2 linked regions of the Nothobranchius furzeri genome follow. The protein of the gene in region 1 interacts with the protein of each later gene in a pairwise test. Links are inferred from orthologs where the notes say so. Each region holds a gene or a part of one and is shown on either strand. Other genes may lie near its edges.

Region 1 (3,654 bases):
TTTACAATAATTAAAATATTTTGGTTTTTTTGTAGTAATAATACTAATTTCCAGCTTTGATTTACCTGGAGAGAATATTCCATCGCCTTCTCCGTTTGGCCAGCCAACGATCTCCCTCATCTTTTTGAGCGTCAGCTGCTCCATCAGCACAAAAACTGGGGCAATCTCATATGTAAACCTAAAACAGACAAAATAACCAAACTGTGAAATGTAAATCTCAACTTTCTGTGCTTATTTTGTTGAATCCTGCTTATTGTCTTGATGCACACTTAACTCACTGAAAGTTACATAATTATTCAACAAAGTATATTTCTTTACTCTCTGAGACCCAATAAATACCAACAATATGCACACTTTAAAATAATTCCCTTCATAAAAGTTGTTCTAGAATAATGGCCTGCTGCTGGGCTCACAAAACCATGTGCCGTAATTTATTTTTTATCTTCATAAAGCAGAAACTGCATGAGCATCACCTCTACATAAACATTCTTTTTATTTTCTGGTTTATTTATGCAAAGGGAGCAAAAGAACAAGATGATCCCAGCGTGCTGCATTGTGCATCACATGCAGGACCAAAGTAAACAAGTCAGAATTCACCCCACAGATGTCAAATGTTACTTCAGTGCTCTCATTCAGATAAGTCTGATCATGTAAAGCGTGGATGTGACTGAGGGCCTATCAGTGTCAGTCAATATCAGCTGAGATAATTAGGGCTGATGCACTAATTAATAAAGATTAATTAGTGGAAAAAACCTCCCACGTGTTCAAGTCATCCACTGTGATGCTCATAAAAGGTAACAGTTTTGTTGGTCCCAAAATCTGTGTTCCTCAATGTCCACTGTCCTGCATGTCCAGAACACCTGATTTAAATGGATGCCTCATTAAATTCTATAGAACTGGCTGATAAGACGATTTAATCATTTGGCTCAGGTGGGTTGGAGGAAGGGAACAATTAAAACTTGCAGGAGAAAAAATCTTGATGACCAACCAATCTGTTTCAGGTCACTTCTGCGAAGACCAATCAGACTCTTGAACCTCTCACCTGAAATGCCCCTCTAGATGTGATCATGAGTCCAGAGTTTCAGGGGTTACAAGTCTTTTTTGGGAAAAATCACAATACTCCACAATTCTACGATTTTTCCTGAGAGTTGGGTTGCGCATGAGGTCGAGCAAGGGCGTAATTTTTTTTTTGGGGGGGGGGGGGGGGGGGGGCAGGTTGTACAAGCAGGGGAACTTCTGTTAGTGGGCCATTCCCATCTTGTACCTGGTCAGCCCGGCCCGGATAGCATAGGTTGCTTACATATCTTGGTGGCCTGCCTTTTTTCAGGGTGCAACGAGACTGTTTTTCAGCCCTCTTTCTGAGGTGGTCTGCTTCAGGCTGACCAGGGTCAACACCCCCCACTGCTGACTGATAAGCCAGCTAATCAGTCAGCAAATTCAAACCTTTCAGTAGAGCAAGCCTCTGATTGGTGGGTAGAATCAGCCCACATGTGCTTAAGGCATGCTCAATTCATTATCATGCTGATTACCTAGAAGCTGAAATGACTACATTCCTTGCATACCTAAGCAAGGATGTGTGGAATCAGCCAGGCCAGGCTGGGGCCGACTGGAGCTATCCAGGCAGGGCCGACCAGGCACAGATGGGAATGGCCCGTTGGAAGAGTGGGTTGGACTGTGGACAGTTGTTGTTTACCTGGAGACGGACATTTTATAATAATTTTAAAGATTTTGACAGATATGTGGTTGTAAAAGCAACACAAAAAAGTCCCGGTACGCAATGCCAGCCCAGTTGAAGCACAGAATAAGGTCTATGCACCAAAGATTCCAAAAATAATGGTATCCATCTCAGAGATAAGCCAAGCTCCTTTCGAGGAAAGTAAGTTCACATGTTGTGCAGAGAAGACAAATGGAAAAACACTGAGAAGGTGAGGTGGCTGGGTTGCACCCATCCCAAAAAGCATTCATGTGATGCAATACCTCATTTACACAACAACCCAAATGACTCACAGGATGGACGAGGCGTTTACATCCTAAAACCTGTCCAGCAGCCATGCAAACTCCATGACCCATGATTAGATCACGTGAGTTTCCACTGCCTTCGATTAAAACAGAAAATCCAGGATTTCTCATGGAAGTTTACAACCTGTAAATAACTAGTAAATCACTGATTACATATCAATGAACGCATTAGTGGTGACAAACAGCCTTTTAAAGAGGCTCAATGAGAAAACCCTTCATCAACTTTCAGCCACGATAAAAAAAATGTTGCAAATAAATTTAGTTTATGGTGAAGTATCTGCTCCTTTCCAACGAGCCCTTAATAGATTATTGACTAATGAACTGATGGGTGTTTTATTTAATGAGCAACAACAAAATATTACAATGCTTTGATTCTCTGCATGTTATCCAAATTAAATGATTTTTAGTGTCTGCAAACATTCATAGGTTGATTGATCTTTATGGAATTTATTTGTGATATCTCTCATTTCCCAAATTTGGGAGCTCCAGATTCCCAAAATGAGATGCCTATCCTGCAGAATGAGACAAAATAAGGCAATAAACAGATTTTACATCCTATTAATAAATTCTGCTCCTATCTTCCAAATATGGAAGCTCCTTCCTGTCTGTGTTATATCACAGGAGCTCTCATAACACGAAACAAAGACACCGTGTAAACTCTGAATGCTAATCAATATGCAATTTAGTTTCCCTGCAGGGCTGAGTTATGCACCCACCTCCCAACAGTCGTGTATATCGACAACACTGAACCGGGGTGTGTCTGCCCCGATGTCCTGCTTTGTGTTCTTTATTTCCTTGTTTGACTGACAGCCTTTTAGAGCGTTTTTCTTTTCCAACCGAGGACAGTAATTACTACATGACACTGTAAGTGTTCCTCCGAGCTGAAAAACAAATAAGAGCTGATCGGCTGTGATTTCTACTCACATGTTTGTGTTGGCTGTGGAAGTGAGCCACTCTCCCGCCAATCCCACGATGTCTATTCCAGTAGACAGCTGGTTAAAGAACCTGGGGTGGCCTGGGATTGATACAGAGTCAAACCCTCAGAAAAAACACAGCTGTGAGATAACCAGGAGTTAGTTATTCATCAGTAGGTATACCCTACCTGTTCTCACGCCATATTTCAGGGTGTCCCTGCAGTCCACCAGGATCTGCTCCAGAGACTCGGGCTGGTCGGGCAGCTCCAGACTGAAGCCCTCTATGCCCTCCAGCAGCTGGTGAGGATAGTGGAAGTCAAGGACCTTGGTGGATTTGTCAAAAGTCTTCTTGATGTAGCTGGTGAGGATTTCCACCACCTCCAGCAGGAACTGCATGGTGGGCTCTTCTCCATTTTTGGCAGGCAAAAGCTCTATAAAAGAATCAAATATTCTAATAATTTGTCTCCTGTAGTTATTTTTTTTATTATTTTTGCTTGCTTTTTTATTTCTTTCATTTATTTCATAAATAATTCCCATTTATCTTATTTTTTATTTATGTGGGGCCTTTTCTTTAAACTCAGACTGTAATTTTCACACATTTGGAGGCATTTATCTAAAAAAAATCAAATGAAAGGCAACAAGTTAGCATTTCTCTGGCCCTACCTCTGGCATACAAATTGGAGAAGTCGGTCTCTATGCGCTTAAACCGCGCGTCCCCTCC
Region 2 (4,278 bases), on another chromosome or scaffold:
AACTGTGGTGGACGCACACCATTTGCGTGCGAAAAATGTGATGTGCCACTACATGTGGAGTGCTTCAAAAAGCACCACACTGAGTAGTACATCCATACCAAATGATGGATTGTGTGGGAACTATGTCATATACATAAATATGTGTTAAATGTTCTAAAAAACATGTTTGTTGTGATTTTGAGTTTTAAAAATGTGAATAAAGGAAACAGTTGTGTCTTGTTTTGAATTTCATACAGGGGAACCTGAGTCCTTTCTTATTTCTATGACAATACTATTAGGCTATTACCTTGTTATGACCAGGGCTGGGCCTTGAACAGCCATTGGGGGAGGTATTGCTGCAGTGAGGTGCGCCAAAATAACAGAGCAGTGTCCTGTTTGTGGGATGCATGGGTGAGGTTACAGGTGTGTATGTGTGTGTGTGTGTGGGGGGGGGGGGGTTTGCATTGGTGCGAGGAAAAACTAACCCTAACGACACTATTATTACTTCTCTATTCCTATTATTAGGTGACATTTCACCTACTGACAAGCTGTGTGACCACTGGCAACAATAGTTGCCAGTCATAAATATGCCATTCTCTTCCCAAAAACAGTATATAATTGAAAAAAATATTATATAACATGATTCAGAGGGACTTAACTGATAAAATGATATGCATTAAGACTGAAAAAAATGTGGGCACAAATGGGTTAAATTCTAAATGTGGTTTTCAAACCAAAGTGGCACATTGTGAAAAGGTGACCGACCCCTTAACCTAAAGCAGCCACCTGGAGTTTCACCCAGAATGACCTAGAAATCCGTAAAAGTGACCGTTTTACCCTAAACCTCAAAGCTCACCTCTCCCTCTTTGATGTGCACATCCTTGTGTTCACCATTTTCTACCACCTTCAGGCACATGTCCCCCTTCAGCTGGAAGAACAACTACTTAAAGAGAAGAGCAGATGGAGACATGGGGTTAGATGCTACTCCTAGATGTTTACTAGAGGAAACTGTGTTTGGTTTATTTCCATAGTCAATATAAAAGTTCTCTTTCTAAAAACTACAAAAAATAATTCGTACAACCCCTAAAAGGCCTGTTTCACGTGGATTTCAGCTGGTTCTGTATTTTTGTACTAAGAACATCAAGTGTTCCACACACTGGGCCTAAACCAGTTTGGTGGAGTTTGACCTGATAATGCAGAAAAGATAATAAATAATCCACTGAAGTGGGAATAAAAGGTCAACAGAAGTTAAAGGTTGAATATGGAACACGGAAACTCTGGCGACATCTAGTGTCTAGAGGTGGCAGTGCAACAATAGAAAACATTTTCCAGCCGTGGGGGGTGTTGGTTCGCTGCTGACACATTAAAGTGAGGGTCAAGGCCTGGGTGGAGACGTATTTCCTCCACACTTCCCGTTAGAAAATCGCTTCTGAAAAAGGCGTCGCCGTGGGCGGATCGAGAGAGCGGCACTGAGACAATGGTAGACCCCCACACCCACACCCCCGCGCGCACATGCTGTCAGAGTTTTTCAATCTAAAAACGAGTTGTTAACCAGCGCATGCACCCTCGAGCGTGCACGCAAGCACACTCACATAAGACTTACCGCTCAGGAAAAAAGCAGACACAGATTCTGCAGCATTCTGGAGGATTTCTTGTTAACCAGGATCAATAGATGAAAAGGGGAGGAGGGCTTTTTTTTTTCAAGGTGGCGAGCGGCTCAGAGCGCTAACGTGTCACATCGGCAGGTGAGTGGCTGAGCCAGGTGGAGGTGCAGCTGCCTCACCTGGAGACCAGTGCGGTGCAGCCGCGTAGTTTTTTGCTGACGTCACGTTTTTCTGCTTAGCCATCAGCTACAGCTGGTTCTACATAAATGTGGAGCAGAGTTTTAACCTGAAGATAGTTATAAATGAGATTTTGGGCTGAAATATTACATTTAAAGTAAGTTGCACTAAAGTGTCACACTAATGATTACACATGTGTGCAGCACCATCATCTATACAGGTTAGCTGCAAAAAAAAAGTTAATTTAGGCATTACTCGCTCTTTAAGTGACCAGCCAGCACCGTGTTCAGTGACAAATCGTACAGGGTAAGGACTAATTTCTACTAATACATTTACTTTACGACAATATTTACCGTTAGAACATCTTTTGGGCTCAGAACCAGCCGCTTGGGTAGTCAAGTCCCTTTTACGCAGCCCCAGCCTCGCCTTGCCGAGCGGACTTTTTAGCACTATGATGCCCTCTAGTGGCTGCTAGATGTAAACATGAACCCAGTGTCGTGCAGACAAAATTAAAAATTGATTTTTTTAATTTAGCTTTTAAAGGAAAAACTGAACATTCACTCTGCACGCCTCTAAGCACCCGTGGAGCTTTTTTAATAATATAGCTTTTTATTAATATGTTCCATATTTCACCTTTAAATCAACATGATTGAAGCAGTTCAGTAGATATTTGTCTCTTACCTCTTCCCCTTCTTCTATGTGATAGTCCTTCCTGGTGTTAGGACCTCCAACAAACATGATGAGCAACTGGGAAAAGTGCCTGAGAAAAAGAGGAAATAAAATCAGCCATGTTGCCTCGGCATGACCAAGGCTGTTCATGTGAAATTTGTGCAAAAGCTACGAAACTATTACAAATATTTCAAACTGCACAACAGATGAAAGATCCCCGTTAGTAGAAAGAAATCCACGTTAATCTCAGCTAATAAAAGAATCAAGTCACTCACATGAGTTTGTTGCAAACTGGTGGCAGAAAATCATCCTGATTCTCTGTAATCCAGTTTTTCACGCTGACCTGGAGAGGTGATACGTTCATGTTTTAAATATTTAATTTGGAATGATCAAACCCTGGAAGCTGATGTTAAAGTGTGAATGCACTCAAAGTCCAAAATGCAGAAGCTGCTGAAAGCTCAGGAGGGAGGAGCTGTTTTTGTTTGCAGAGGTGAAAGGTCACCTTCACTTTCATAATAAGTAACAAAGGTGCCCTGTGGGACTCTAGACAAGAGTCCTTTTCAACAACTACATATGCAGCCAAAAGCAGAAGAAAGTTTCTGGGTGAAATATTCCCTGAATTCAAACTGTATTTATCTCAATAAATGATTAAAATACTACTCCTTTTATGATTCATCACAAACAAGCCTAAAACATGTAAACTATGAGTTGATATGTTTTACTTGGAGGTAAAGGCTAATGCGAATCACAAGAAAAGAGAATATGAGCTAACGTGCACCTTGGAATTGCATGGAAGACTGTAATAACCAGCTCCCCTGTTACCAAACAGGACGTGTTTAAAACTGCTATTTTCTTGGTATATAATTGATTACTAATTGTGGTAATAACTGAACATATTATATATAGAAAGACAATTTTCCTGTAATACTTTATAAACAATGAGTTTTACCTTACGTGTGTTTTAATGTTTCACTTGAAATGAAACATGAAAAAGATGCACTCTGTCAATGTCTGTTTTGTTTTTCTGTTTAAATTCTTATCCTTTTATATCAAAAAGTACTTGATGCCATGGCCAAACCATTATGTAGTAAATGGAAGTTTTTTTTATCTTTAAATCTTTTTTTTATTCTGTTATGTGGGAATGTTTTATGTTGCTCAAGGCAAAGGTGTTTATGTGTTTTGTGGTGATGCCCTCTTGTGGTACAGCTGTGGAATTGCATCTTTTTTGGGTCCGGTTGTGTAACAGCCAGCAGGCCGCTGTGGTCACGTGATATGCGGCCTCGGCGAGGCGGTGCGTCTTGACGGCGGTGCTTCAGCGTGGTGCGCGCAGACGTTCAACAAAACACCGTTACATTTGTAGTTTGGGATCTAAAAATAACTCGTAACAGCTAATAAACTTGAGCTTTCCGCTACTAACAAAAATTCCCGGTGGTTTTGGTGATGGTTTGGATATGAATTTTCTCCTGGGATTTCGGTCGGATTCGTTGTCTTATAAGTAGTGATTCCGGTTCAGTGGGAAGGTTTGAACTGTTCTCCCTGGAAAGTGACCATTGTTGAAATCAGGTCAAGGCTGCTATCATTCCTACTTGCTGACTTTCTTACTTTTTTACGGATTTACAGCAAAAGGTGCAAGCTTTTTAGAGTGTCATGAAAGAAATGTCAAGGTAAGTCAGGCATGTGGTTCGTTTTGGACTTAAAAGCTTTTCTTGTTCGCGGTAGAGATGGACCTGAAGAATAGGCTAAAAGCTAATGTTAGCCAACTGTCACAACATGGCCTGCAGCCACCGTATGCTACTTATCTTGTTTGGCTCGGGTAAAACTCGACTTAAATCGTTTTTAATAATTAGAA

The links. The genes of interacting proteins can lie anywhere in the genome.
Region 2: the proteins of glutamate decarboxylase 1 (region 1) and haao interact in a two-hybrid assay, tested with the Homo sapiens proteins (4 studies listed by BioGRID and IntAct). The two-hybrid records come from large-scale screens. The link is inferred for Nothobranchius furzeri from reciprocal best matches to the Homo sapiens genes GAD1 and HAAO.

Annotation. Positions count from the first base shown.
Region 1 is NC_091754.1:20,477,936-20,481,589, reverse strand, and holds part of glutamate decarboxylase 1, read right to left. Parts: coding exon 3,597-3,654; intron 3,365-3,596; coding exon 3,122-3,364; intron 3,035-3,121; coding exon 2,944-3,034; intron 179-2,943; coding exon 66-178; intron 1-65.
Region 2 is NC_091752.1:7,587,256-7,591,533, forward strand, and holds the start of haao (3-hydroxyanthranilate 3,4-dioxygenase), read right to left. Parts: upstream 2,883-4,278; 5' UTR 2,794-2,882; coding exon 2,705-2,793; intron 2,521-2,704; coding exon 2,442-2,520; intron 920-2,441; coding exon 836-919; intron 1-835. Other genes in the region: papolg (poly(A) polymerase gamma), read left to right, coding at 4,077-4,093. UniProt on the Homo sapiens protein: Catalyzes the oxidative ring opening of 3-hydroxyanthranilate to 2-amino-3-carboxymuconate semialdehyde, which spontaneously cyclizes to quinolinate.